3 linked regions of the Saccharomyces cerevisiae S288C genome follow. The protein of the gene in region 1 binds, or shares a complex with, the protein of each later gene. Each region holds a gene or a part of one and is shown in the gene's direction. Other genes may lie near its edges.

What was found.
Region 2: the proteins of HTA1 (region 1) and RTT107 are in contact, whole or in part, in a crystal structure (PDB 3T7K), measured with the Saccharomyces cerevisiae proteins. Residues at the interface, in NP_010511.3 of Saccharomyces cerevisiae: Ala128 (codon at 6,134), Ser129 (codon at 6,137), Gln130 (codon at 6,140), Glu131 (codon at 6,143), Leu132 (codon at 6,146); in NP_012024.1 of Saccharomyces cerevisiae: Cys841 (codon at 8,621), Thr842 (codon at 8,624), Gly843 (codon at 8,627), His846 (codon at 8,636), Leu883 (codon at 8,747), Arg884 (codon at 8,750), Thr885 (codon at 8,753), Glu886 (codon at 8,756), Lys887 (codon at 8,759), Leu889 (codon at 8,765), Thr970 (codon at 9,008), Ile971 (codon at 9,011), Val974 (codon at 9,020), Trp1043 (codon at 9,227).
Region 3: the proteins of HTA1 (region 1) and HIF1 are in contact, whole or in part, in a crystal structure (PDB 5BT1), measured with the Saccharomyces cerevisiae proteins. Residues at the interface, in NP_010511.3 of Saccharomyces cerevisiae: Gln17 (codon at 5,801), Ser18 (codon at 5,804), Arg19 (codon at 5,807), Gly30 (codon at 5,840), Arg31 (codon at 5,843), Arg34 (codon at 5,852), Arg38 (codon at 5,864), Arg79 (codon at 5,987), Ile81 (codon at 5,993), Pro82 (codon at 5,996), Arg83 (codon at 5,999), Gln86 (codon at 6,008); in NP_013078.1 of Saccharomyces cerevisiae: Ser79 (codon at 7,399), Gly80 (codon at 7,402), Asn81 (codon at 7,405), Leu82 (codon at 7,408), Phe83 (codon at 7,411), Tyr203 (codon at 7,771), Glu248 (codon at 7,906), Glu250 (codon at 7,912), Arg291 (codon at 8,035), Asp335 (codon at 8,167), Asp336 (codon at 8,170), Asp338 (codon at 8,176), Glu339 (codon at 8,179), Glu342 (codon at 8,188), Asn343 (codon at 8,191), Gln345 (codon at 8,197).

The regions. Positions count from the first base shown.
Region 1 is NC_001136.10:909,778-918,458, forward strand, and holds HTA1 (histone H2A), read left to right. Parts: upstream 1-5,752; coding exon 5,753-6,151; downstream 6,152-8,681. Other genes in the region: YDR222W (uncharacterized protein), read left to right, coding at 277-1,524; CRF1 (Crf1p), read left to right, coding at 2,322-3,725; HTB1 (histone H2B), read right to left, coding at 4,540-4,935; adenylate kinase ADK1, read left to right, coding at 6,709-7,377; chromatin-silencing protein SIR4, read left to right, coding at 7,794-8,681. UniProt on the Saccharomyces cerevisiae protein: Core component of nucleosome which plays a central role in DNA double strand break (DSB) repair. Nucleosomes wrap and compact DNA into chromatin, limiting DNA accessibility to the cellular machineries which require DNA as a template.
Region 2 is NC_001140.6:396,866-408,670, forward strand, and holds RTT107 (Rtt107p), read left to right. Parts: upstream 1-6,100; coding exon 6,101-9,313; downstream 9,314-11,805. Other genes in the region: PEX28 (Pex28p), read left to right, coding at 386-2,125; MTC6 (Mtc6p), read right to left, coding at 2,403-3,983; SPO12 (Spo12p), read left to right, coding at 4,569-5,090; SPO16 (Spo16p), read right to left, coding at 5,221-5,817; LAM1 (Lam1p), read left to right, coding at 10,238-11,805. UniProt on the Saccharomyces cerevisiae protein: Required for resumption of chromosome replication after DNA damage, specifically in S phase. Is recruited to chromatin in the presence of RTT109 and RTT101 in response to stalled replication forks and acts as a scaffold during DNA repair.
Region 3 is NC_001144.5:97,604-107,365, reverse strand, and holds HIF1 (Hif1p), read left to right. Parts: upstream 1-7,164; coding exon 7,165-8,322; downstream 8,323-9,762. Other genes in the region: serine/threonine protein kinase KNS1, read left to right, coding at 1-1,680; SPA2 (Spa2p), read right to left, coding at 2,019-6,419; nucleoporin POM33, read left to right, coding at 8,530-9,369. UniProt on the Saccharomyces cerevisiae protein: Histone H3 and H4 specific chaperone component of the nuclear histone acetyltransferase B (HAT-B) complex. Involved in chromatin assembly and telomere silencing.

The DNA.
Region 1 (8,681 bases):
CTCACAGATTATTACAGTGAATTCCAAAATCATGTTTACTACTGGAATTTGTATGCATATGTTTTGGCAATCTTAAGCCTACGGATTTTAAATGTGATGGATATAACGAACAGTGTTTACTGGAGACTCACTTCTCTGGGCTTGAGTTTACGATGTATAGTCATATAAAAATGAAGAAATTTCTTGAGTGACAATTGCCGCCGTACTTCGTATTGTCTTTTCTTGACAGTGAGGGCGTATAAGATACATCGTACATACATAGAGACTCATTTAGTGATGCTTGAATCGAGCAGTGATAAGATAAAGTTTGCGCCTATTAAAGAGGTAGATTACAAAAAACCGGTAAGTAAGAGTAAGAACTATACTCTTATTAATGACATCCAACCATTGGAGTGGTATTGTCACAATGATAGTGAAACGGGCTACCAACACACCATAAGTAACAAGACAGATGGTGGTAGAGGTTTATTCAGAGTGATGAAAAAATCGATGGAGACCAGAGTCGAGACCCAAACGTTATATTTCACAGATTTGCATACAGGCTTGTGTGGATTTGTTCAATTACTGTATTCTACGGTTATGGGTGGTATCTATAAAGGCTTCCAATTGAATTTCAAGGTTTTTGGCTCAGAAAGTAATAATACTGACTACGACGTTTGGGAAAGTTTTAAATTGGATGACATAGCTGAATTTCAACCATTAAAGTTTGTCTCTAGAAATGTTATTTTTGAATTTTTGAGCAACAAAAATGAAAAATTAGGTTCCATTGGCCAGTTATCTATCAAATGTGATTTACCAACATGTAACAATACAATTCAAAATTTGAAAATCGATTTGTTGGTGGATTTGTTTCAAGGTTTTAAGATGAACCCCAACGGTTGCAATTATTATTTTGACAAACAAATCTCGATGAGTGACGAATTCGTTTCCTCAGACAAAATGATCAGACATGTTTTTGTGCCCAGAGGTAAATGTAATGGTAATATTTCCTACGATAAAAAACTCAATAGTGGGGACTTTCAAAATAAAAATATTTCATTAACTGATGTTCCTGTCGTTTATCTGGACGCTGTTCAAGGTCTTTTGCCGAATAAAGCAGCCAGTAAATGGAATTTCCTATGTTTTCAGAGCGAAAACTACTCTGTTTTAGCAATTGAATTCACTACTCCTCGAGATCATGATAACGTCACCGTAACAGTTTGGTCAATTACTGAAAAAAACAAACTGATATCTATTGGTTCTTCTGTGCAGAGCCCAAAACGTCATGTTAGGTTCCGTGCTACGAGTACAGATAAGGAAAGCGGCTGGGTATATCCAACCTCTATCAAGTTCCCCGGTGGATTTTCAGAACACGACTTGAGGCTGGTTAATCGATACGACGTTCTCGGTGAGTTACCAAGCATGGTCAGGTCGTTAGCTCAGAAAATTGTGAGCATCAAACCTTTCATTTATCAATACTGTCAACCTTCTAAATATAAGCACGAGAAAGGTATTTCTATCGTTGAGAGCACCTTCATTAGTTGAACAAAAGCGTGAACACTTCCACATGAAATTCGTTTTTTGTCCTTTTTTTTCTCTTCTTTTTCTCTCCTGTTTCTTCTACCAACTTTACCTAATAATTAATGTGTAATCGAATTTTTTTACATAATCACTACCTAATAACTAATTTATCATCACTTTTTTTTTTCATTTTGAGGCCACACTTTCCCCCATGGACTATTGCATCATTGCGCCATGCTTCTTACTTGCGTAAGCCATAGAACGGAAATATCATGTTCCCCTTGCCGCATGCATATTGAAAACATCACGGGAACGAGAAGAATGGCATTTTCGAAATAAAAAGAAATCATATTTCAAATGTTGGGGAGAGAAAGCAAAGGGGAATCAATAATCATTAAGGGAAGTCGATGAAAGTTTCCTTTTCCGAACTCTACCTCGCCTTATATAAAACCTTGGTCTAAACGGATAAACCGAGATGTAGTTGAGTTTGTGAATCCAGTTCTTGTCCTTCTTCCTCTTTCAAAAAGTGAAGCAATCAGTTGAGAGTGTAGCTATAGAGGTGTGTACTCTAGAAATCAGACTTTCATAGCAAGCAGACTTTTTTTTTGTTGAATCTTACTAGCGGATTTTTTAGAGTTTTCTTCTTCGGACTAATCTGTCAATGGTTCCAGTAAGATTAATGAGTCAAAAGCCCTCTATAATTGTATCGAGAAATTTCTTAAAAGAAGGAATATAATTATTGCGGTCACTAGAAAGTTATAAGAAGGTTACCATTTAACTGAACAGCAGCGGTATAGTACGGAATAAAAAAGTCTTTTAAAATGTTGCTTAGTGCGCCTGTTAACAGTACCGTGCGGCGCAAGCCACACAGTCCAAATAAAAAAAAGCCAAAAGAGACAGGTACAGCTGCTTCCTTTTCGTCGTCCTCTTCAACTGTCGTCCTTTCATCCAATAATGATGGCAGCTTTGATGCTCTTTGGGACCCCTCTATAAGTAAGGCCTCGGATTTTGAGAGTAGCTATATTAGTGCTAAACGATTAAAACCAGAAAGTAGTAATAGACAGAAAAAAAAAAATTCTTATAAATATTCTAGGGAGGAAAACACCAACGAGGTAGAGGAAAAGACGTCTCTTGGCAGCAGCTCTAAGACAGAAGCAGATAATATATTTAATGACCAGCTCACGTCAGCTGGCAATACTACATATGTCAGTAATAAGCGCGATGTAAACTTCGGGGCGAATTCGGCTGTAGTACTGCTCGGTTTGCCAACAAGTAAAAGTGAATCTCACCGACAATACCACAGTCCTTCGGCTTCAACAACTAATGAAGATGAAGAGGACATTGGTGTTGATATTTTAGTAGACAACCACATCGATAGTTGCGAAACAGTATCGATAAATAATAATAGAGGTATTACACACCAATATCCAGAAACGGAATCAGATGTCGACTTTGATGAGGCCGTGATATTGACACCAATGGATGGTACGGATAAGGGAGTGAAAAATCCAAGACCACTCGAAAAAAAATATAGTAGCAGTTGTTTTGAGGACCGTACGCCCCTTAACTTGGATGATGGTCATTTCAGTGAATGCAATCATTTTTCTACATTAGATGTGTCTAGCTTTTTTCATCTCAACGAGCATGTGCATAAAATCGACGAAGTAGAGCTCGATGGACCTGATCGCACCTTTAGTCTAGACAACGTCGCTATTAATACAAGGAAAAAGGATATTGATTGCCTCTATAATAGTTCAAGAGAAGACTTATCCAACCTCACATGTTCTTCGGAAGGCCCAAGGAATGATAGTTATGATAGTGATTACAACATTGATGAGGTCACTTATAGAGATGATGAATCAACAGATGAAGACGAGAGCTTACCAACCCCAGATCGAAAAAGGAAGAAAATTGGCCATAAAGCTTGCGAAATATTGGATTCTAAAAGAATTGGAATAAAAGTACCAAAGTTATACGTTTGGTCTTTAAGTGATAAACCGTTTAGTGTTATCGATGGGTTGTGCACAAAATCGCTGTACCCATTGAGTGATGACATAAATACTCCTGAAAGTTTGAGCTCATGCTCAAGCTCAGTAAGTTCACGGGAAAATCAAAAAGGAGATGCAACATTTGATAATGATGCTATGATAGCCGACCTTCTAAACATAGGCGGACTCGAAGTAGAGAAGGCATCCAATGGCCATATTGAGCTCATAGGCGAGTGATTATTTGATATTCCAGAAGAATCATTATCGTCTTTTAAAGGAAAATATGATCGTTTGCGAAAAAATAGAAGCACTTTACTACTTGAATTGTCATAGAATAGTAGGAAAACCTACTTAGTCAGCGAAGATCAACTTGGAATATCGTATGATGAGATGGAGAAAAATTTAGGGGCCGAAATGGATGGATCCACTTGAGAGAGGATCAAGGAATACTGAAGTGCAGCTGACGATCCAGTCAGCGACATCTGTCTTTTTTTAATTACTATTGCTGTGTACTTATAGAGTCGGTGGCATTTATTTTATTTTTAGTATTTTTTTATACGTGCGTATTCTATTGTTCATTTTTTTACCAATTTTTTTTTTATTTTTATATTTTGTTTCTTGCGTGGAGTTTTTACAGGAAGTTAATCACAACAGAGGGTTCAATCTCCAAGGCATAAAATAAACAAAAATTGTAATAGTTAGCAACTGCAATACGAATTAAAATTTGAGGAAAAATCTAGTATTGTTCACACGAGCCAATGCTCTGAAGTTTCGAAAGCTAATAAATATCATGTGGAAACTTTTCTGAGTCATTAATAAGCAACACTATTTATTCTTCTTATAATTAGTCTTACAAGTAAACTGCCTTGCCGCATAAGCGCATTCCCTCTATGAGACCATTTGTAATTTCGAGAACACAATTTTACAACCGAGTAAATATCTTATAATCATTAAAATTATTAAACTATTATACAATTTTTTTTACTTTACTTTAATTTTTATATACCCATATAAATAATAATATTAATTATAACCAAAGGAAGTGATTTCATTATGCTTGAGTAGAGGAAGAGTACTTGGTAACAGCTCTAGTACCTTCAGAGACAGCATGCTTAGCCAATTCACCTGGTAAGATCAATCTAACAGCGGTTTGAATTTCTCTAGCAGAGATAGTAGACTTCTTGTTATACGCAGCCAATTTAGAAGCTTCAGTAGCGATTCTTTCAAAGATATCGTTAACGAAAGAGTTCAAGATAGACATGGACTTTTGGGAAATACCAGTGTCAGGGTGAGTTTGCTTCAAAACTTTGTAAATGTAAGAAGAGTATGTTTCCTTTCTAGCCTTGCTTCTCTTCTTACCATCAGTGGAAGTGGAAGTCTTTTTAGCGGCTGGTTTCTTTTCAGCTGGGGCTTTGGAGGCTGGTTTCTTTTCGGCTTTAGCAGACATTGTATGTGTGTATGGTTTATTTGTGGTTTGACTTGTCTATATAGGATAAATTTAATATAACAATAATCGAAAATGCGGAAAGAGAAACGTCTTTAATAAATCTGACCATCTGAGATGATCAAATCATGTTGTTTATATACATCAAGAAAACAGAGATGCCCCTTTCTTACCAATCGTTACAAGATAACCAACCAAGGTAGTATTTGCCACTACTAAGGCCAATTCTCTTGATTTTAAATCCATCGTTCTCATTTTTTCGCGGAAGAAAGGGTGCAACGCGCGAAAAAGTGAGAACAGCCTTCCCTTTCGGGCGACATTGAGCGTCTAACCATAGTTAACGACCCAACCGCGTTTTCTTCAAATTTGAACTCGCCGAGCTCACAAATAATTCATTAGCGCTGTTCCAAAATTTTCGCCTCACTGTGCGAAGCTATTGGAATGGAGTGTATTTGGTGGCTCAAAAAAAGAGCACAATAGTTAACTCGTCGTTGTTGAAGAAACGCCCGTAGAGATATGTGGTTTCTCATGCTGTTATTTGTTATTGCCCACTTTGTTGATTTCAAAATCTTTTCTCACCCCCTTCCCCGTTCACGAAGCCAGCCAGTGGATCGTAAATACTAGCAATAAGTCTTGACCTAAAAAATATATAAATAAGACTCCTAATCAGCTTGTAGATTTTCTGGTCTTGTTGAACCATCATCTATTTACTTCCAATCTGTACTTCTCTTCTTGATACTACATCATCATACGGATTTGGTTATTTCTCAGTGAATAAACAACTTCAAAACAAACAAATTTCATACATATAAAATATAAAATGTCCGGTGGTAAAGGTGGTAAAGCTGGTTCAGCTGCTAAAGCTTCTCAATCTAGATCTGCTAAGGCTGGTTTGACATTCCCAGTCGGTAGAGTGCACAGATTGCTAAGAAGAGGTAACTACGCCCAAAGAATTGGTTCTGGTGCTCCAGTCTACTTGACTGCTGTCTTGGAATATTTGGCCGCTGAAATTTTAGAATTAGCTGGTAATGCTGCTAGGGATAACAAGAAGACCAGAATTATTCCAAGACATTTGCAATTGGCTATCAGAAATGATGACGAATTGAACAAGCTATTGGGTAACGTTACCATTGCCCAAGGTGGTGTTTTGCCAAACATCCATCAAAACTTGTTGCCAAAGAAGTCTGCCAAGGCTACCAAGGCTTCTCAAGAATTATAAGATCGGTTCTGGTATTTTAAAGAAGGCGGAAGGAACTAAACTGCTTCTCCATTGTAACTATATTAAGTGTCTATTAGACCTTTCTGTTTTTCCTTTTTATTTTTCTATATATAATTTATTGGGTATATAATTAACGGTAACATATGTCATGCATGATATAAATTTTTTGTTGTGTCTTCCTGTTTTCTCTGTTGCTCTGTTTAGGTTCATTGGGCACTGTTGCTTACTTGAACATGATTGAGTAGCAAACACATTCTGTGCTTTGTTCACTTTGATAGTGTGACGAAATTTTCACAACCAAAGGAAAAAAGCTCACGATTGCGCGATCCTGTCACGGAGAACTGTCCGCAGCAGCCCGCGGCTTCTGTCCTTATTCGCCCATTTTTTTTTGATTTTCGACTTTTTCACTCTGGCTAGTTTTATTACGCATATTTGTATATATATATACGCATAAATTTCTGAAATGGATTACCTGGTTTATCAGAAACGAGAGCTTTAATAAAGAAACATTAACGTTTCTCTGGTAAAGTCACCACACAGCATCAAATATAACAGTAATGTCTAGCTCAGAATCCATTAGAATGGTCCTAATTGGCCCACCTGGTGCCGGTAAAGGTACTCAAGCTCCAAATTTGCAAGAGCGTTTCCATGCCGCTCACTTGGCCACTGGTGACATGTTGAGATCTCAAATCGCAAAGGGCACTCAATTAGGTTTGGAAGCAAAGAAAATTATGGACCAAGGTGGTTTAGTCTCTGATGACATTATGGTTAACATGATCAAGGATGAATTGACCAACAATCCAGCTTGTAAGAATGGGTTCATCTTGGACGGTTTCCCAAGAACCATTCCTCAGGCTGAAAAATTGGACCAAATGTTGAAAGAACAAGGAACTCCTTTGGAAAAAGCCATCGAATTGAAGGTTGATGATGAATTGTTGGTTGCCAGAATTACCGGTAGATTAATTCACCCAGCCTCTGGCAGATCCTACCACAAGATCTTTAACCCACCAAAGGAAGACATGAAGGATGACGTCACCGGTGAAGCTTTAGTTCAAAGATCTGATGACAATGCAGACGCCTTGAAGAAGAGATTAGCTGCTTACCATGCTCAAACCGAACCAATTGTTGACTTTTACAAAAAGACCGGTATCTGGGCTGGTGTTGATGCTTCCCAACCTCCTGCTACTGTTTGGGCTGACATCTTGAACAAGCTAGGTAAGGATTAATGACCTTGCGCAATGTCTTCTAAATATCTTTTCTTTTTTTTAAATTAATGAAAATATAATAAATTTTTGTATGTGAGTACATATATCCGCAGTATACTATAAATGAAATAATAACATAAGTGTTTGTAACTGGCTATAACGTCCTTAAACATGTGCACTGCCATTAAGTACTTAGTCAATATTTTTATCGTTGAGAACGAACGCAAATCATATTACTAAATAGATGAACAAAAGCGCATCACATAAACAAAAACGGTATAACAGTAATAGTGAAGCTTTTTATAAACCTATAACGAAATAAGCGCTTTTCAGGTTTTATAATTCAGTCAGAGTTCTAACTGGACATCGTTTTGCAGGGGATAAAAAAAAAAAGGAAGCTTCAACCCACAATACCAAAAAAGCGAAGAAAACAGCCAATGCCAAATGACAATAAGACACCCAATAGGTCCAGCACTCCCAAGTTTACTAAAAAACCAGTAACCCCGAATGATAAAATTCCTGAAAGAGAAGAAAAATCCAATGAAGTGAAGACACCTAAAATTCCATTATTCACGTTTGCCAAAAGCAAAAACTATTCAAGGCCGTCAACCGCAATTCATACCTCACCTCATCAACCAAGTGATGTAAAACCGACTTCCCATAAACAGTTGCAACAGCCAAAATCCTCACCACTGAAAAAAAATAACTATAATTCTTTTCCTCACTCAAATCTGGAAAAAATAAGCAACAGCAAACTACTCTCCCTTCTTCGGTCCAAAACGTCAGCAGGAAGAATTGAATCAAACAATCCTTCACATGATGCTAGCAGGTCTCTAGCAAGTTTTGAACAAACAGCATTTTCCCGGCATGCGCAGCAACAAACTTCTACCTTCAATTCAAAGCCTGTACGTACCATAGTACCGATATCAACATCACAAACCAATAACTCATTTTTATCAGGAGTAAAAAGCTTACTAAGTGAAGAGAAAATAAGGGATTACTCTAAAGAGATTCTAGGCATAAACTTGGCAAACGAACAGCCTGTTTTAGAGAAGCCACTTAAAAAAGGATCAGCAGACATCGGCGCCTCTGTGATTTCTTTGACCAAGGACAAATCTATCAGGAAAGATACCGTAGAAGAAAAAAAAGAAGAAAAGTTGAATATAGGTAAAAACTTTGCCCATTCTGATTCACTATCAGTTCCGAAGGTTAGTGCCGGTGACAGTGGTATATCACCGGAGGAGAGCAAGGCAAGAAGTCCTGGAATTGCAAAACCGAATGCCATACAAACAGAAGTGTATGGAATAAATGAGGAATCTACTAAC
Region 2 (11,805 bases), on another chromosome or scaffold:
AACCTTGTCTTTTCGATGAACTTTCCTATTTGGGTGAGCAGTTTTCCTCTTCGAGCTGCAAAAAAGTTTATCGCTTCGCGAAAAAAAAAAAAAAAAAAATTTAAAGAATTTCAAAACGTGTCAGGGCTACTAAATAATTGAACGAGGTCTATGAAATAAAATGGGCTGAGAAAATTTCAAGAAAAAGGAAATAAGTAAGGGCTATTTAGGGTTAGTGGAATGGCTTTTATTATTTCCGCCGCGATGAACTTCCCTTTTATTGTGACATGATAGACATAAATATGACGAATGCCTACGAATTGGAGTCATCAGTAGATAGAACCATAATGAATAAGATAAAAACGCAGGTATTTAGGGTGACAAAGAGATAATATATCTTCAGCAAATGAGTGAGACCAGCTCAAGTCGCAGGAGCGCGAGTAAAGACGCTGTCAAATCTTACTTCGCAGGCAAATACAATAAAGTGTTGGATTCTATACTGGAGGCAGAAGCAGCAATATCAAAATCGCCAACTGTAGCAGAAGATCTATCAGGAAGCTCCTCCAGCGGAAATTCTGAGATGAGCCATCCTTCGCTAACCGCCTCCTCCGCAACAAGCCAAGGCATTAGCAAAAAGGAACTACTCCAACAAATTGCTGGTTCATTATTCAGTACGTCCATTGAGCGCCTGAAGACTGCCCACTCATCAGAAGTATCAAGTACTCCGGAATATTCAGTAAATGATTCGTATGGAGAGCAAGAGTGCAGGGAGTGCGATGGTGTTTTCAAGTGTTCAGCGCACTTTGAGGGCGCGCCCGAATATTATGACGATGAAACCGAATCAGGGCCAGCTCTAGAACCTATGACTTCCAATAGTGAAAAAGATCCTTTTATCGATGTATTTTTGGATAAACTAATATCGAGGTTGGTCCCTGAAAAGCTACCAGAAAGAGAGCATTTTAGTAGCAAAACCACCATTGAGCATGATCTAGACACAGGAAGGGTTCCCGTGTTTTCAGCAACTACATTGGGTAGTAATTTCAAAAAATTGTCTAAGAAAATGGGCTCAATATTTGAACTCCAGGACTCCATAGTTCGACTGCTGACTTGGAGAAACCCTACCGGGACGGTGACGTCGTTAATATTATTCACTTTGATATGTTTTAATCCAATGTACTTGGTAATTTTGCCTATATTCCGCTTTGTCTATGGTATTGTAGTTCCTGGCTATGTGCGTAAACATCCTTTACAAAGGAGTATATATCCTCTGAAACGGAATCACGGATCATCATTGTTATATGATGTGTGCTATGAGGGAAAAAATGAGTACAGCTACGGTCAACAGTTTTTCTCCAAATCTTTTATGGACACTTTGGAATCAAGAAATCAAGAAATAGACGAAATATCAGAATTAGATAAAAGAACCGAAAACACAGGGGAATTGAAACAAGGAATGAAAGTACTAATTAATTTACGCGATATGCAAAACATGACCTCTGGTACCCTTCATGTTATTGAGGCAATCAATAGTTTTCTTCGTAAGTCTTCTAGTTTTCAAAACGAAGAGTGCTCCACTAAACGTTTTTTTACAGGATTTCTTTTGATTGTTTTCTTAAAAATATTATCACCATTTGTGAATTGGAGCTATGTATGTAGCATATTCGCCTGGTGCTTACTGATATATATGCATCCAAGAGCTCATCCAAAAATAATAAGTTTTTTCAAAACAGGAACAATGGGAAAAGAATACAAAAACTTGAAAAAAAGAGAACACCAGGCGCTTAACATGATATTCGATGAACAACCGGAAACTAAATTCATCGAGATTTTTGAAATATATAAAAAGGCCTTACTGCCGAACGACTGGAAGTTTTTCCGATATTCAAATAGAATTTTCGATCCTCAAGATCCGTATAGAAGAGCACAGCAATTCCCACCGGGAGTAGATTCTTTGGCTGATGTTATTCCCCCCACAGGCTGGTCATTTGATCCTAATTTTGAGTGGAAAATTGACAATGATGTGGATAGGTGGGTGGTAGAACGTGGGTTGAATCTGCCAATTACCGGCGAATTCTTATTTGATCCAATGTTCAAGAGGAGGAGACTGATACATCGTGTTATTAAGAATGCAACACCAGTAGCATAATGCACAATTGTTTTCCTTCACCTACAACCCCACCCCTCTTCTTGGGGAAATCATTGTATTACGTACTTTTTTCCTAAAGATATTAGAAAAAAAAATGTTATGTATCAATATTACTAGGTAAAATACAAAAATGCGCTTTTGAAGTATAAATAATACAGTTTTGTTTTAAGAAATGCTATATATGAATTAATAATAAATGAAACGAAAAAAAGCACTACTTGAGTTTTAATGTCGTAAAACTTGAGAAAATTCTAAAGTGTCAGAAAAAAAGTGATTTTTAAGAAGGGACACCTTCTAGCTCGGATTTAGAGATTTTATTGATAACTCTTCTCCAATTTTTTCTATTATCATAAATGGGGACCCTCAATACACTCAAGTAAACGACAATACACAGTAGGGCAAAGGAACAGACTGACGCAGGGACCATCATTGTTACGAAATTTCTCCTAGAAATGACTTTTTCATATGGGCAACTAGCATAAGGACCACCACTTACCCAACAATTGCTTACTGATATAGAGTTCAAATCTATCCATATTTGTGTGTCAGAGAAGGAGGAATTCCTCATATATGCAATAAACGATCTCTGCTCCAATGGGCTTCTAGGAATATTAAATGAATACTGATCGGGACATTTAGATCCCTGGTAACTATCAAAATCAAAGTACGTAGCCTTATTTGATCTCACCAACCATCGGAATGCCATATTTTCATATCTACAGAGCCCAATATTAGAATTGTAACAGTTACCTACTCGCCATGTTACTGTCTCATTGTTAGCAAAGTAGTACAAGAGAACGCAATTGTAAGCCTCTAAGGTCCCGGATGAGCTGCCAGATTTAGAAGTTGACTGAGTAACTGAAGGTTGGTCACTATCCCATGACCAAACGCTGCCTTCATGAATTATATCTGCTAACTGCGTCACATTATTGACGTACGCTGAATTGCTTATTATTGGTGATAAACCACACGAAATATACTCTTTGATGTCCACGGAATTGAACAGCGAATCTAAGAATCTCCAATGGATAGATGATAAATCAGTCAGACCCTCTACAGTAGAGGGGCAATCTAATGTAGAGTTCCCCTGCTCATAATGAAAGACGTCATGAGGAAAAATATATGGAGCAGTAGTTTCATTAAAAAAATCGGTCAGCTCACCTATAACCAGTCTCTTCTTTTGTTCATATAGCACAGAGCCCAGAGTGGGCCAACCGTCAATGGACGATTTTCCGTAGATGTTCCAGGTATTATTCTTTGCTCTATCACTTTGTAAATCCGTAGGCTTGTAAATGAAACTATTTCCTAAATTTTTGTCCAGTATATAAGTAGTGTTCAAAGTTTGGTTTTGGTGGCGGTATTCTGTGGAATCCAGTTCAGGAGCTGATATATTCAGCAACAGTACAATGATATTCGCATAGAGGTTGTTTTGTGTGCTGAAGATGAATGACTGTAAAGCAGTTAGAACGTCGCTAAATAACAATGTCGTATCTACCACTCTCAAATCATTATTATATTGTTCCAAGTCGAGGACAAAAGCATTTGCTTCGGAGGATAGCATAGATTTGAACAAAGTCAGTAATCTTGTATTATTACCTTCATTTACCATGCTAGTCTCATTGTTCAACAGAACCCGTCGTAGATTCAAACCAACATACGGCAGCTGGTCTATAGTTAAGTTTCCCATGACATCTCTTTGGGACCTAAAGGCCACCGTCATTTGAGGGGACATCGTCGGCCAGACAGATGCTGAAACGGTCTCATTCAGATCATCGCCAACTGTCGTAGTAGAGTCAACAGCAGTAACCCACGTTCGCAGTGAGGACCATATGATAAATAGGTATATGAGTATCCACATACCGTGTCTATAACGATGCGAATGCAAATGAACAAAAGAAAAAGGGAAGAATAGAATGGAGATAGTCTTTGAAAAAGCGAGGTTAAAAGCGACTAAAAAATACCAGCAAAAAGGTGACAAATAAAGTTAAACAGGGTGTATCTCACCGTGCAGCGAACACTTCAATGTGACTTGCTCAGCCAAAGACTCATCAACATTTATGGAAATTTCAATGATTCCCATTGTATTGCCTCTTCCCATTGTGGAAAAAAGAAAAATGCCAAAATTGCAAACCCTAATTTAAAAGGGTTACAGAAAAAAAAAAGCAGGTCTGAAATGCAGTTCGCCATGGTTAATATCTTTTCCTAATTTGGAAATATGTAAACAGGGCATCTTTCCTTTTTTTCTCCTAATGAAAATTGTAAGCAAAAGCATGAAACAATACTGCCACAAGAGGAGAATTCCTCCTTTTGAAGTCTAAAGCGCCATTTCAAACTAGTTTTTAGGAGGTCAGCCAAACGTTCATTCAGATTAGTTACTATCTTGGAATACTTCTAGTAGGAAAACAAAATAACATATACAGTAAGAACAATAGAAAACGTATTTATGTCCAACAAGGCAAGTGACCAATCAGCACGCACGGCTTCCATCCTCAAGACTGATATTACCAGAGAAAACACAATCACCAGAAGCAGCAGCAGCAACAACGACAACTACCATCACCACAATAACATCAATAATTACAATGAATCGGCGAAGACAGGAGAGGACGCCAATAAAGAGAATATACCTAATTTAGAGGAGGAGATTGCGGCCTTTCGAATTTTTAGGAAAAAAAGCACTTCAAACTTGAAGTCGTCACACACCACTAGCAATTTGGTAAAAAAGACAATGTTCAAAAGGGATCTTTTAAAACAGGATCCGAAGAGGAAACTCCAACTACAACAAAGATTTGCATCACCGACTGACAGGCTGGTATCACCATGCTCATTGAAATTGAATGAGCACAAAGTTAAGATGTTCGGAAAGAAAAAGAAAGTCAATCCTATGAAACTGAACTTTAAAGGCAACCTTGCTGCCGATTCAGAGGATGTAGAAATCGATGAAGATGAGGAGTATTTCTACTAAAAAAATCTGCCTTTCTAGTCATCCAAAAATAGCCAAATGCTACACTAAACCAATAAGCAAACGAGTACATAAAGAATAAGTAAATAATAATTCAACAATACCTGATTTTTTTTTTCTTACATTTTTTTTATTATTCATTAAAAGCAACCACCAAGCTTTCCAAATTATGAAACCTTGATAAAATGGCTTCAAAATCTTGATCTGGAATTCCGTTTTTTTTGAAGAGGTCGAAAATTATTTGCTTGATTAGAATTTCAAAATCAATAAACTCGTCCATATCCACGCTGTTCCGTGTCAAACGCTGGTTAGCTTTAAAAGCTAGAAAATATTGATTGTTTTCAACATATCGACTTCTGTCTACTGGTGTAACCTCTGTAATAAAGTAGCGGGCACCCGTTTTCGATGGTCCATTTATTAGATCTAGTGACCTCTCCAATAAGATATCCCAATAAGCTATTGAGAATTTCAAGCGCGTGAAATTCAAATTTATCATCAGAGAACGATGTGCGGGAACTCCAGGGCTTTTCTGTATTTTCTCATAGACATTATTTATCAGTAATTGCAGCTGTGTAACAATAAAATTGACGCCACTTTCTTCGTCTTGTAGCTCCTCGTTAAGCTGCGAAATTAACCTGCTCGTATTCACAGTAACACACTTAACCACAGAATGTTCTTCGACATTAGAAATCTCTTGTATTTTTTGTACATCCCAAAAGAATTCAGACATTTCTATTGAACCATTCCAGAAATGTTGTTCCAGAAGTTTATTCTCTTGAACCTTTACACTATTTCGTATTTTCTCGGTTTTAGCCGCCCACTTTTCACGCGTTAACAGGGTAAGCTATATCAGATGTGACTTTTCTTTTTCACTCATCTAATGTTGTTTTTCGCGTCACATTTTTTGCCAATAAATAAATACATCACAATGTTCTATATTGTATATTCAATGGAAGTCATTAGGTTATTGGGCAAGATTTCAAGGAGGTAGCATACTGGTAAATATACGATCCATGAGCACATCACTTCTGTTTGAGCAGCTAAATTTTTTAATTTTAGTGGCAGCAGAGGCTGAGCTTCCCATCGCTCACTCTACTAGAAAGCTTTTGATGGATAATTCATGCAATAACTGTCAAATATACGAGCTTTATAACGAAAATTTGAAAGATGTCAAGACGGATAAAGATTGGTTCATGAACAAATTCGGCCCGCAAACAGTACATTTTGTCATTAGTAATACAATCAACTTTCCTTTTTATAAGATAGTTTATTTCGATCTTTTGATCCCGGTGGTATCACACACTTGGGTCCAGGATTCGGTCAAGACGAAGAGACATTTGAGGACAAATATGTATTCACCTAACCCATTTCATTTGCTCCGAGACTGTCAAGTATATATTTCCAAAAGCTCGTTTAATAAGTGTGAATACATATTATACTCTGATTTGCTTCATTTATTAGGAGGCACTTTAGTCAATTACATCTCAAATAGAACGACGCATGTGATTGTTCAAAGTCCCCAGGACCCGATCATAGCAACGGTCAGTAAATTGACATTTGGCTCTTTTTCCTCTTCATCGACCAACAAGCACACCGAAAAGCCTTTGAGAGAGTGGAAATTTGTCTATCCAATATGGATATTATATCATTTCAAAATGGCGAAGCCCTTGAAGGGCGAGCTTGCTACTTTGTGTGAGCTTGATATGCAGGACACCAGTGAGGAACAGTTATTCGCAAAATGGGAAGAGGTTATTGGCGATAAGCAGACATCATCATCGCAGCTTACTCTTCATCCAAACAAAACTTTATTCAAAAATCACCACTTTGCTATCTCACCAGATTTAAACTTTTTCACACCTTTGTATTGGTTTTTGAAAGGATTTATCGAGGATTTGGACGGCAAAGTAACTCCGTTGAGTTTTTCTGACGATCTGAAGTCTGTTTACCAAGCTTTTCCTGATATTGACTGTTATATCGGCCACTCTGCTAACTCACCGATACTAGAAAAAACCAAAAGCATTAAACCGGAAATTCATGTTGGGAACGTAAGTTGGTTGTTTTATATGTTTGCGCTGCAAAAATTTACACCTGTATCGCAATGTAAACTTATTCACCAACCATTTCATGCGAAATTATTTACTTCTAAGGAATTAACAGTCGCGTACACTAATTATTTCGGCTCCCAAAGGTTTTATATTCAGAGGTTAGTAGAAATATTAGGAGGACTTAGCACACCTGAACTAACAAGAAAAAACACACACTTGATCACGAAGAGTACAATTGGCAAAAAATTCAAAGTCGCAAAAAAATGGTCACTGGACCCGCAAAATGCCATTATTGTGACAAATCATATGTGGTTAGAGCAATGTTATATGAATAATTCCAAGTTAAACCCCAAAGACAGTAGATTTCAAAATTTTAAATTGGATGATAACATGGGATGGAATATCGGCCAAATAGGAATGGATCATTCATCTCTCCCAACTCCAAAAAACCTATCGATGGTGACTTACGACACGCAATCCATATCAGAGAAGCCGCCTCCCACAAATGATCAAATGGATCAAATTAACGATAACACCAATGTATTATCAAAGAAAGATGGTACGCCCATTAGTAGTTTTGAGAACTCAATTGATGAAAAGATTGACAAATTACAAAAAATATCAGGAGAGGTGGCTGTAACCCATTCTGGAGATTTAGAACGGAGTTTTGTTTCCAGACCTTCAAGGGCAAGTTTTCCAGTAGTTGACAGTAAAAAATCTAATTTACAAAAGAAAGACTCAAACTCAGATATTAGTATGGAAACAGAGGTTTTCTGTGAAGGACATGAAAAAAGAGAAGAAAAGGAGTTTACGAAACCTATTACGGAGTATGATGCACCTAAGAAACAAGAAATAAGGGAACAGTCACGCAAGAAGAATGACATAGATTATAAAAAAGAAGAGGAAGAAACGGAGCTGCAAGTTCAGCTAGGACAACGAACTAAACGAGAGATCAAAACTTCGAAGAAAAATGAAAAGGAGAAAGAAACCAATGAATGTCACATTGAAGTAGATCAAATGACGAATGAAAAGCAAGGGGAGGAAAGTACAGGAAAACTGATTTCTACGGAAGACGTCACTTCTAAAAAAGATACAGATAAATTCTCGCATTTGTTTGAAGGATTATCTGATAATGATGATCACATTAATGACGAAAAACCGGCAGTTAATTCCAAATATACCACACCCAAGACGTCTCAAAATATTACGAGTGGCGTTGATACTCCAACCACCGCGCAAACGCAAGTTTTTATGCCATCAAGTGGCAATTCAAGGTTAGCAAAGACACAAGCTGCGAAGAGATTGCATACAGATATTGAATCATTAAATGAATTTCAGAAAAACTTTAAAAGGAAGAGAATTGATAGCGAGGAGATTTCATTGTCCCAAGATGTTGAAAGGTCAAATAATAACAAAGAACTGGCTACTAAAGCGGAAAAGATATTAGCTAGATTTAATGAACTACCAAATTATGACCTAAAAGCGGTTTGCACCGGTTGTTTCCATGATGGATTTAATGAGGTTGACATCGAAATATTGAACCAACTAGGTATAAAAATTTTTGACAATATTAAAGAAACGGATAAATTGAATTGTATTTTTGCTCCAAAGATTTTGAGAACCGAGAAATTTTTAAAAAGCTTAAGTTTTGAACCGTTAAAATTCGCATTGAAACCTGAATTTATTATTGATTTACTGAAACAAATTCATTCTAAAAAAGATAAACTTTCTCAAATAAATATAAACTTGTTTGATTATGAGATAAATGGAATTAATGAGAGTATAATATCAAAAACCAAACTACCTACTAAGGTGTTCGAAAGAGCGAATATTAGATGCATTAACTTAGTCAATGATATACCGGGTGGTGTAGATACAATAGGCTCTGTTCTAAAGGCACATGGTATCGAAAAAATCAACGTTTTACGTAGTAAGAAATGCACATTTGAAGACATAATCCCAAATGACGTTTCTAAGCAGGAAAACGGAGGCATTTTTAAATACGTACTTATCGTCACCAAAGCTTCACAGGTTAAAAAATTTACCAAACTGATTAATGATCGTGATAAAAACGAAACAATTTTGATTGTTGAATGGAATTGGTGTGTTGAATCAATTTTTCATCTCAATGTTGATTTTACATCAAAGAAAAATGTTTTGTATCAAAAGAAAAATAACTAAAAATGGACACTATATATTACGTCATCTGACATACGACACTGATAACAAATAAATATATAATAATTATAAAGATGCGTTGTAGAAAATCTTATGTTCAACAAACAACCCACATATGATTAACAGACCATTTTAAATGTCTAGTTAGAAACAATTATTTGGTACTGTCTTTGAATTAGATTGTTTAATAAAGCATTTCTAATATAGGATACAAAGGGTCAAATAGTACCGTGAGTAGAATCATTTATTCCACACTTTATCCGCAAACCTTTTAATTTTTCTACAATTTCATGGATAAAAACAGATTCATGGCCAGAATGCGTAAAGCAACTCTATTGTACAATTTTCCACTCTGAGATATTCACACAGCGGAGAGCCCTTCTACTCAATGCGTCAAGAACAATGTTCCAAACCTAGTGTATTTTAGGTATATTATTACGAGAGTATCCGCAATGTTAATGACGCAAAATTTAATGGCTCAAGCCAACTACTAACGTTAGTAAGAACTTTTTGATCTAATAATTAAACAGGTTACATCCATAGATTTACGTCAGAAATCTTAAATAATGTTTACATGCGAACAGTACCAAGATACATATATGTGGAGCGGATGAGAGATAAAATTGGGTTAAATGGGAAACATTACGGTATGATGCATAATTTTGAGTTTGGGCTTATTATCCTCGTGCGTATTGTATCGTCTCAATATGAGTGAAGATAAATCACCTATTACCCGAACTTTGAAGAGAACACTCTGAAAATTTGGTGAATAAGAAAGGGCTGTAGGTATTATTCGCGAAGCTTTCATTTATTGTAGTGAAAACTAGGGTGACAGAAGCTGATGGTCTGTTCTTCGATTTAGTACTGCCAATTTCAAGTTTTTCACTTCTATAGCTTTGGTATTGGTCATTGTAGAACAATTTTATAATGCATGAACACAAAGCGGAGCTACGGCTAATAACCGTTGCACTTAACGAAGCATCCACCGATTCCCCCTCTTTTAGAGCTTCTGTCAATTATTTCCATACCAGAATGGAATCTCTGAGTAGTTGGATGCACAGTACTGTGGATTATGTAGAAAATACGTACAAGCCTTCGTTCCAAGACTTCCAAAGAATAAAGGAAACACTATTTTCACAGCTGCTCCCTTCTCCTATATTACTCTCCAATGGATTTGTCAGTAACCAGCCATATACTCCCTTGCTTGTAAGAGACTTTACTAGAGATGTCAGTGACCTTTCAAATACGGTTATGAAAATAATTTTAGGTGATGAAAACTCACAATACACTGCGGCATTGTCTGCTTTGAGCTCTGATGCTATTAACCCTTACTTCAACAAGAGAAAAACTTTTGAATACTACCAAAGGAAGTATGATTCGTTTTTAACTGACTTTTTAGCGGCCACTAATGATGGCAATACTTTAATTCCACAAAATCTGCAAAATGAAACATTCAAATTAGTCGATATTAAACACAAATATATAGAAGCTTCCTTGGATTTGACTGAGGCTATTTCGTTAATGAAAGTTAATTTGGATAAATTCCTGATAGAGACAATAGACATTGTGCGCAAAAATAACGTTATTACTACCAAGGACACCAAGGACGTTATCGACATTACTCCCGAACTTACGGAAACATTAAAGGATTGGACCGATTGGATAGAAAGTAACCTTCAGACTTTACAAGCATTGTCATCCAAGCTATCTGAAGCTAAGTATGCCATTCTGAAGCTCAGCTTGGCAAGAATGAAGCCATCTCGCCTGATACAAGACTATGATTTGAAAAGCATACAAAATTTGAAGTTTAACCTTCCAAAATCGATAAGTAACGGAAATAATTCTGAGGAAAAAGGGCTATCGGGTTGGTTGTACATGAAAACTACAGTTGGTCATGATCCGAAAAGAGTTGTGTGGGTAAGAAGATGGTGCTTTCTACAGAACAATGTTTTTGGAGTTTTTTCACTGTCGCCTAGCAAAACTTATGTCGAAGAAACCGATAAATTCGGTATATTATGGATAACTGTAGAATATCTGCCCAAAGAACCTAGAAATTTTTGTTTCAAATTGAGGATTCAAAATCCAAATTGCAAAACAGAAGAAGAAAATACATACATAGATATCATCCTGCAAGCTGAAAGTATTGACGAGTTAAAATCGTGGATAAACACCTTAACTTCTCACAAAAGAATCGCATTGTCGATAAAGGAGGAAAACGATCCTCGTTATCAATTGGCGAGAAAAAAAATTGAACCTCAATTTTTCGAGTTTGCTTCAAGTAGCTCAACGTCAACAGATAAATTATTAACTTCATTTTCCAGTAAAACTTTGACATTGGTAGAAGAGCTAAAAAAAAATTATATGTCAGAGGATGATATATACTCTATCATTGATAATAAGGCATACCATCTGAGAGTAATTTCTACACCGATAGCCACGCAGTTGACTCATTTGGCTTTATTCTCTACATTTCTATCTGTATCAAATTATTATCC
Region 3 (9,762 bases), on another chromosome or scaffold:
AAGAAGCAAAGAACCATCTCACTGCCTCAGTTGCCTCTATCGAAGCTGAGCTACCAATCGAACTATTTTAATGTTCCTGATCAAACCAACGCTATCGTGCCAAGAGTAACGCAAACTGAAAATGAGCTGTTGCATCTAACGGGGTCGTGTGCAAAGACTCTGGAGGGCAACAAGGCAGTGAATCTCACGATTGCTCACAGCACTTCTCCCTTTTCCAACCCACCAGCACAAATAGCTTCCCTGCCTCAATCCAACCTCAAGAAACAAATTGGTTCTTCACTACGGAAATTTACATCAAACGGCTCTTCAGAAAGCGCATCATCCAATAAATCAAATTTCAAAACGGACAAAGACGGTCACTACGTTTACCAGGAAAACGACATATTTGGCAGTGGCGGCCGCTTTGTTGTGAAGGACCTATTGGGCCAAGGCACGTTTGGTAAAGTACTTAAATGCATCGATAACAAGTATGAACCTAATTACGTGGCTGTAAAAGTGATAAGGGCTGTAGATAGATATAGAGAAGCCGCCAAAACAGAACTAAGAATTCTACAGACTATCCTGAATAATGACCCTCAAGGTCAGTTCCAGTGCCTCTTGCTAAGGGAGTGCTTCGATTACAAAAATCACATTTGTTTGGTGACAGATCTATACGGCAGGTCCATTTACGATTTTATGTGCTCCAACGGCATTGCCAGGTTCCCCGGCTCTCATATTCAGGCCATTGCCAGACAGCTAATCAGATCTGTCTGCTTCTTGCACGATTTGGGCATAATACACACGGATTTGAAACCAGAAAATATCCTGATTTGTGACGAAACCCATATTGCTCAAAAATTGCCTTTGAAAACCGTACAGTCGCTAAGCAAGAGACGCCGTGAAGCCAGTAAGGGGAAGCGCAAAATCTTGAAAAATCCAGAAATCAAAATCATTGATTTCGGTAGCGCAATTTTCCATTACGAATATCATCCTCCTGTAATATCCACTCGTCACTATAGAGCCCCGGAAATTGTCCTTGGCTTGGGCTGGTCGTTCCCCTGCGACATTTGGTCCATCGCGTGTGTCCTAGTAGAACTGGTTATTGGCGAATCTCTTTACCCCATTCATGAAAATCTAGAACATATGGCTATGATGCAACGAATCAATGGAACCCCTTTCCCCACAGACATTATTGATAAGATGTTTTACAAATCTAAACATAAATTGGGCAACTCTCCATCAGACCTAAATTCAACGGTGATAAAGCATTTCGACAGAAAAACTTTAAGCTTACAATGGCCTGAAAAAAATAAACGCGGAGATACCATAACCACCGAAAAGTCAATGAAAAGGGTCTTGCAGTCATGTGATCGCTTAGATATTTACATCTCAAAGGTCTTGAAACAGGATTACGGCGATAGCTTAAGCATCAATTGGAATCTACCGCCGGAGAAAAACTGGTCTTTGATAAATTCGAAATTGGCATGGAAAAGACAAACACATTCCTCTTCTTCCTCAACTACTGATGAACTCGATAAGGAAACTTTCTTGTTTTGGTACTGGTTCATCGATCTACTCAGGAAAATGTTTGAGTTCGACCCAACAAAAAGGATTACCGCAAAGGACGCTCTGGACCATGAATGGTTTAATCTGGGCATACTGGATGATGGTATTGCAACTTATAATAATACCCAAGGATAGTGGGTGTTCTCGTTCTACTTTTCTCTTCTTTTTTTCACATCTTTTACTAGTTCCGTTTTTTTTTTTTTTAACTCTTCTTTTTCATTTTCCGGTTTTTAATAATATTTCTTTAAATTTCTATATTCAATAAAAATTCTTCCTACATATATATCTTCATATTCAAACATTTATAGTATTTTTACTAATTTTTTGTTGTTTTAATATACTATAATAATATTATTATTACTGCTACTACTATTATTATTATTATTATAATTATTATTATTATATGTCATACATAATACATTCTATTGATTGTCTTTGTCTTCCTTTTCTTTCTCCTCTAGATACTACTAACTTTACTTCAACTTCGAATTCAAATAATTTATTTCGTCCTTCAAACTTGCCTCTTCTACAGTTTTTACCAGCTCCTTTGTACATTTGGCAACATCAAACGCAATCCCTGCCAACCGCTGTTTGAAGTTTTTGTCAGCATAATCTTGATCGCTCTTTTCCTTCGCTAGTATTCCATCGCCAGTTAATTGGCACAAAATTGTCATTCTACGCGAACAGTCTCTTAGACTTTGCACCACCCAATCACCGTGTTTCTTCAAATTGGCATTTCTGCTTTGCTCCATTGATATGCTAGTAGCGTCCACCATTTGACCTATGACTTGGTTGATTGCATTCGATTCTCCCCTCAAATTACCCTTCGTCACCTGTGGTTTCTTGATCGATGTCAAAAGCGATTGAATCGTGGATATGACGTCCATTGTTTGATGTTCTAAATACAATAGTAACTCTGATAGTGTATTATCCGGATTTTCAATGTCAAATGTATCCACATCAAAATCACTGTCTTCTTCCTCTTCATCGTCATCTTCACTTTCCTCTTCCTCACTTCTGTTTTGTTCTTGTTCTTGTTCTTCATGTTTCATGGGAACAAATTGATAGCTAGAATCATCATCATCACTATAATGTTTCTCGTCATGTGCCGTAGTTTCTCCAGTATTTTTTATCTTTATGTGGTTGTTAATGCCGCCGTTCGACTCTGAGTTCTCGTATTGAACCGGTTTACTGTTTAAAAATGGTGAGTGGCTCGTCTTTTTTACCTGTGAATTTTCAGTTGGATTTACGAAAGCATGCTTTCTTTCAGTGATGTGTATTTGGGCATCAGCTCTTTTTCCATTAACATTATTTGATTCATCAATATCTTCCTCGGAAGTATGCACTTCTGCTTCGCTTTTTGCTTTACGATCAACAGGTATTTTATGATAATCAATTTTTCCAGTTTTCGTATATGCACCAGTGATCTGGATATTGTGGTTCACTCTATCAAAATCTTCGTCCTCCTCCTCTCGTTTGATCGTACGGTTTAAGTCGGCGTCTCTCCAAGAAGTATTGGCATCCTTGTTTGTTGGTTCCACAGAAGTGATAGTCTCAGTATGTGGTTTATTAGTTTCTCGTAACTCGACATTTTTCTTTATCGGTGCTAGAGGTGAATTTTTTGCCAATTCAGGAGAAACAATTTGGCTATTCGGTTCTGGGAGCCCGCTCTTTTTCAGTGTAGCTGAAGATGGAGTCTTTTCGACTGATTTTGGTGATCCAGTTCTATTAACAGCCTTTGGAAAGACAATCTTTTTTAGTACTTTTGGGGGGTCAACATTCTCTATCGGCTCTGAGGAGGCAATGTCTCTCCTTATTTCTTGAGGTTCAGACACAGTATTTCCCTTTAAATTTGGGGATTCCATTTTCACTGTCATGTTTGAGGGGATAGTATTGCCTACTGCCTCCAAGGACTCGCTTTCCCTTACCATTCTTGGAGATTCAATTTTGTCAACTTCTCCTGATGACGCCAACTTCCTAGCCGCTTCCGGGGACTTGATTGATTCTTGAGCTGTAATTTTTCCTGTCATACCCAAAGACTTAATCTGCTCTTTCATGCCCGGAGATTCGACCCTACTATCTGCTTCTGGGCCTACAACTTTTCCTGCCATATTCAAAGATTTAATCTGTCCTGTCATGCCCGGAGATTCGACCCTACTATCTGATTCTGGGCCTACAGCCTTTCCTGTCATACCCAAAGACTTGACCTTCTGCGTCATATCCGGAGATTCGACATTACCAAGTGGTTCTTGAAAATTTTTCTTCCTGACTGATTCTACAGATGCGCCCTTCTCTGGCATTTCTGAAGGCTCAACATCCTCTACTAATCTCTTAGGCAGCGAACTACTTGGCATTTCTGAAGACATTTCAGATGACGTGATTTCCTTTATCGATTCAGGAGATTCAATCTTCACGGACTCCGGTGACTCATGTAAATCAAGTTCCACTATATTTGCAGGTAGTTTGCTGTCATTATTTTTTTCAATTTTTGAACCTTCTCTCTTCATTGTTTGTTTCAATGCCATATAGGTAAAATCATCATCATCGTCTGCATCGTCATTTTCGTTACCATCAGAGCTTGAATCATCTGTGGACACATCATTCATTGAAGTGATAAATTTATTGGATAGTTTTGGTTTTGAATCCATTTCTTCTTTTGCTATAGGATTTTCCTTTGGTGATGATTTCTTTTCGGAACTTTGCTCAAATTGTTTCAGTTTATCAGCAATGCTAGAAGTTGGTTTAACAGAGATTTCATTTGTTATGTCACTCCTTTTATTATCCTCTTCTGTATTCTCGATTTTAATATTGGGAACTTGATTCTCTGACGGTGGAATAACAGTACCGATTTTGGCTTGTGGAGGTAGTGTTAGTTTAGGAATTTCGGAAATATTGCTACTTGCAGAATTGGAGGCCGATGTTACTGCCTTTATGGGCGAGACATATTTATCATTATCCTCTTTATGGGAGCTATTCTTAGCAATTGATGAATCAATCATTAAACTAAATAGCCCCGTTCCTGAAGGTTTTCTTGAGGTTGTTGGAACTCCATTAGACGATGACGGTCTTATGATCGGACTGTTAATTGCCTTTTGTGTAATTTTCAATGGCTTGACTGGAGATTCTTCTTCCTCCACATCATTCAAGAAAGATGCTGGTTTTCTTGGGTTTATAAACCCCTTCTTCATATTTATTCCAGAAGTCGAGGGGAAAGTTGGCGTCATTGGGGTGGTAGCAGTTGGTGAAGAATATTCTAATACCTGTCGGTTACCTTCATTAGAGGTGGTGCTCTCACCATTTGAATCGGATTTTATTTTCGCTGAATCAATTAGATTACACATGGCAAAACAAACCTCTGAAACAGCAGCTTGCACAGTTATTTTCGGAATTAATACGGGACCGTAAACAGAGAAATATCTTATCGATGTGATCGCATGCGATAATGATGCCTTCAGTAAAATGACCTGATCTTTGTACTGTAATAGGTCGGCCGATAGTAATAGCTGGGAGATTAGGTTCGATAACTGGGATAATATTTGAAATAACTCTTCGCCAATTTGATGGGAAATTGCCGTGGAGTCGCCTATGGGTACTGCGGAAAGCCTAGTAGTAAATTGAATTATCAAGTTGTTAGCGTTTAAGATGTATTGAGCTGGAATGAGCCCATCGGCAGAAGAGTACTTGCTAATAAAACCGTCAGTGATTTTCAAATCATTATGGTTGTCATTCTTTTTTTGATGCAGTTCGAATTCTGAAATTTTCTGCTTCAAATTTTCATTCTCAATTGATAATTCACCGATTTGAGAGTTTAATGACAGCAATTCTTTCTGAAAACTTTCATCAATGGTGTAGTTAATCTTTAAGTTCTTTTCCTTTTCTTTTTCCTCCTTCTCTTCCTTCTTCTCCTTTTCCTTCTCGCTGGTTAAAGATGCTAACTTAGCATTCAAATCTTCAATTTGCAAATGTAAGTCGCTGTTTAAATCAGTCAGTTCTTTAACCTTGTCTTCCATCTCTGAGTTAGGGTTATTGTTCTCAGCCCGTTGTACTTCAGGGCTCTTCAACTGTTCGGGACCCTTTTCGTTATCGATATCTTTATCTACCTTGATAATTGGAGAATCATTAACGTCCCAGTAATTTTTATGCGTCGTTGTTGGAGTCCTTGCCATTGATGTGATATCACGAGCGAGCACTTGGGAGTCAGGCAGATCAGAATCTGTAACTATGGGGTTTAGAGCAGGTTTAGCCTCTTTCTTTTCATCCATGCTTGTTTGTTTTCCCTCCGGTTCATTTGGCTTCTCCTTTACTTGCTCCTCTTCTTCTTCCTCAGAAGACCAATCGATAGATGCCATCTTAGGAATGACCAAAGAAGGTTGTACGGAGACGTTTGGAGCTACTTGAGTCACAGAGGAAGAATTTGTGGATGTTCTTGCAGTATCATCGCTGTCTTTGCTGACCTCTTGTTTCATCGGCTGCGGTAATGGGGGCCGTGGAGCATCCAAATCCTTGTCGAACCCTCTTCTCTTGATCTCAAAAAGGATATCGTCCAACAAATCATTAAATCGAGTTTGTGATAGATTGGCCAGTTTCTGTCTAGCCTGGTTCCTTTTCATGTGGAAATTTGCCTTCGGCAAAAGGTAATCTGGTTGGTTAGCATCTTCACCGATTCTCCTCTGCAGCTCATCGGACACGTCTGTACTCAGCTCGTAAAATTGCGAAGAAGATAGCTTCAACAGCTTGGCTCTGGCCTTTTGAGCTCGTGTCGAATTTGACCTGTCACGATTTTCGCCAGTCACCTCGAAAAAAGTCTTCAGTGAGACGTAGTAATGGAAGATATCTCTATGATGTGCGAGAGAAACCTCGCTTGACGTACCCATGTTTACTCTTTCTTTTCTTTTGTTTATTCTGTTTCGGTGGCTCGTATTGCGTTATTCCTCACGCCTTGATTTGAATCTTCGTCTCACGTGGTTTCTCAGCGTCTTTCACACGCTTCTGACCAAATTTATCTTACCGAACTATACGTAGCTATGTGTTGCTTTCTGCTGAAAGAACTCGATAATAGAATATTATTCTCAAAATACTTCAAAGTTTATTCTCATCGTTTCCAAAAACGCGTCACGCATCACCCGGCGCAGTATTTCTTCTTCCTTTTCCGCCATAAAAAGTCATAATAATAAGCCTATCTCAAGATTCTTATACTACTTTTAACAGTTTTATTGATAACTTACTTACGTTAGACCATCTTTTTTGTGCAAACCTTTGGTAAAAAAAAAGAACTGCGCTACCTTCTCCTAGTTTATGTATGGTACGGCAACTCATAGTTAGTTTTCTGTGCCCGTTTTAAGCACGACTTGAACTTACGTGATTATATGTATACAGTGCATGTTTTTATATAGAAAAATAAAAAAATGGGGTTACGTAGTCGAAGGATATAGCAGTGTCTAAAAACTTGCAAGAGCACTCGTAGCTCCCCGGCAGTGGAATCTTACCACTTCTCAGAGAATGTCGGAACGATATGTTACTGCACTGAAGTTTCGCGTTTTTTCCAATTTTGTATTATTTCATTCTACTCAATTTTGAGGTAACATCGGCGATGAGGTCTCCTTCTAGAAGTAACAGAATATGAAACTAAGGGCAGAAGACGTGTTGGCAAACGGAACTAGCAGACATAAAGTTCAAATTGATATGGAAAGACAGGTTCAAATTGCAAAAGATTTACTCGCACAGAAAAAGTTCTTAGAAGCTGCTAAACGCTGCCAACAAACTTTGGACTCTCTCCCAAAAGATGGTTTGTTGCCTGATCCTGAACTGTTTACTATATTCGCACAAGCTGTATACAACATGGAAGTACAGAATTCTGGTAATCTGTTTGGGGACGCTCTTCTGGCAGGTGACGATGGATCTGGGTCTGAGTCTGAGTCTGAGCCTGAGTCTGATGTGAGCAATGGAGAAGAGGGGAACGAGAACGGTCAAACAGAAATTCCTAATTCTAGGATGTTCCAATTCGACCAAGAAGAGGAAGACTTGACTGGTGATGTCGACAGTGGTGATAGTGAGGACAGTGGCGAAGGTAGCGAAGAAGAGGAAGAAAACGTGGAGAAAGAGGAAGAACGCTTAGCTTTGCACGAATTGGCTAACTTCAGTCCAGCGAATGAACATGACGATGAAATTGAAGACGTATCGCAACTTCGCAAGTCTGGTTTCCACATTTACTTTGAAAATGATCTGTATGAGAATGCTTTGGACCTACTGGCGCAGGCCTTGATGCTGTTGGGCCGCCCTACAGCAGATGGCCAATCTCTAACCGAGAACAGCAGATTGCGCATCGGTGATGTGTATATCCTGATGGGTGACATCGAAAGGGAGGCGGAGATGTTCAGTAGAGCCATTCATCATTACTTGAAGGCGCTTGGCTATTACAAGACCTTGAAACCCGCAGAACAAGTAACTGAGAAGGTGATACAAGCAGAATTTTTGGTGTGTGATGCTTTAAGGTGGGTTGATCAGGTGCCGGCTAAGGACAAACTAAAAAGATTCAAGCATGCCAAGGCTCTGCTTGAAAAACACATGACTACAAGACCCAAGGACAGCGAGTTACAGCAGGCAAGGCTCGCACAGATTCAAGACGATATTGATGAGGTGCAAGAAAATCAGCAGCACGGCTCCAAGAGGCCTCTTTCGCAGCCCACGACCTCCATCGGCTTCCCCGCCCTCGAAAAGCCCCTTGGTGACTTCAATGATCTCTCTCAACTGGTCAAGAAGAAGCCTAGAAGGCATTGATAGTTTTGTGTAAAATGTAGCAACCTACATACGTAATGTATATTTCTCCTTCTTTGGTACGGCGAAAGGGCCCCATTTTAAAAGGGTGAAAAAATATTTAAAGAGCAAGCAGACCATCCCTGAAATGACATACTTACTACATCTAAAAAAAGTCATTTTTCTCTATTCATAAGGAGCAAGAAACACTAGCCAAGAATAGTCAGTATAATGTCATCAAGACCCGCTAATAACCAAGGCCCCCCAAACCTCCCTGCCAGAGATAAGTCGCTCGTGCAAAGGTTCATGGCAGTAGCCAAGAGCTTGCAGTTTGCATGGTTTACCGGTCATTCCGTCGTATTGATCAGCTCCATTCTTTACCTGCTCAAGATGTCAGAATTTTATTACAGATCGGCATATCTCGGTGTCATCGAATCTTTCGGTATCATCATTTACCAGCAATTTTTCACCCGCAATGAACCATTGCAGACTCAAGATGCCGCTGCCACTAAGGCTTCCATAAAATCACGCGTTGCTGGACTCCTAAAGAGTGAAGACGTGCTTTATTTGGTTTTGGCCAACTTCTGGTTGTTCACTCCAAGATTTTCATTCAGCTTAATCCCATTTTTCGCGTTTGCTGTATTCCATGTTTTAATCTACGTTGAAAAAGTTCTCTTACCAAAAGTCTTCCACCTTTCCAGTAAAGATTCAAGTAAGATCCTCAGCTTCATCGACAAGTTTGTTGTTCAGTACAATGACTTGTGCATGCACTGGGTCGGTACTGCTGAGCTGCTTATTTTCATTTTGGTCCTTTTCAGAGCCATTCTGTGCTTCCAAAGGTCTTGGATCATACTTGTTGTGTACGCCATCTTTATTAAGTTAAGATACGAAAACTCCAAGTACATGAAAGCCGCCTTTGCTCAATGGAGAGTTAGAATGGACGGGATCATAAGCCACCCATCTATCCCACCATTCGTCAAAAGAGCTTATAATGCAATTAAAATGAGCTTGATCCGCTTGTCTGAGTACCGCTTAAGCGGTGCCCCACAAGTGACCAAGAAGCAGAATTGAGTTTTATTATTACTTTTTACAAGTTCAATACCTTCTAATTACTTTGTATAACATTCCACTCCTCTCTTTTGCTTTTTGTTACAATTTGTTATATATTTTTTATCAATTTTATATCTTTATTCCTTGAATTGAGTTACTCAACCAACCCTTTTACGGTCTCACAGTGGTGAATTGACTGCATGGCACTGCATTCTTACTCTCTCTTGGGCCCTTATTCGTAGTATTTCCGAAGCTTTTTTTTCCGAGAAGTTCTTCCGATTCACTTTCTCGAAGTTTTTTTCTAGAACATTCCATCGAAGATTTCGAAAAAAAAAGCTTCGAGGTTTTGACGAAATTTCATTCTTAAGCACTATGGGAAGGTGTGGACGAATTGTTATATATAAGCCGCAATTG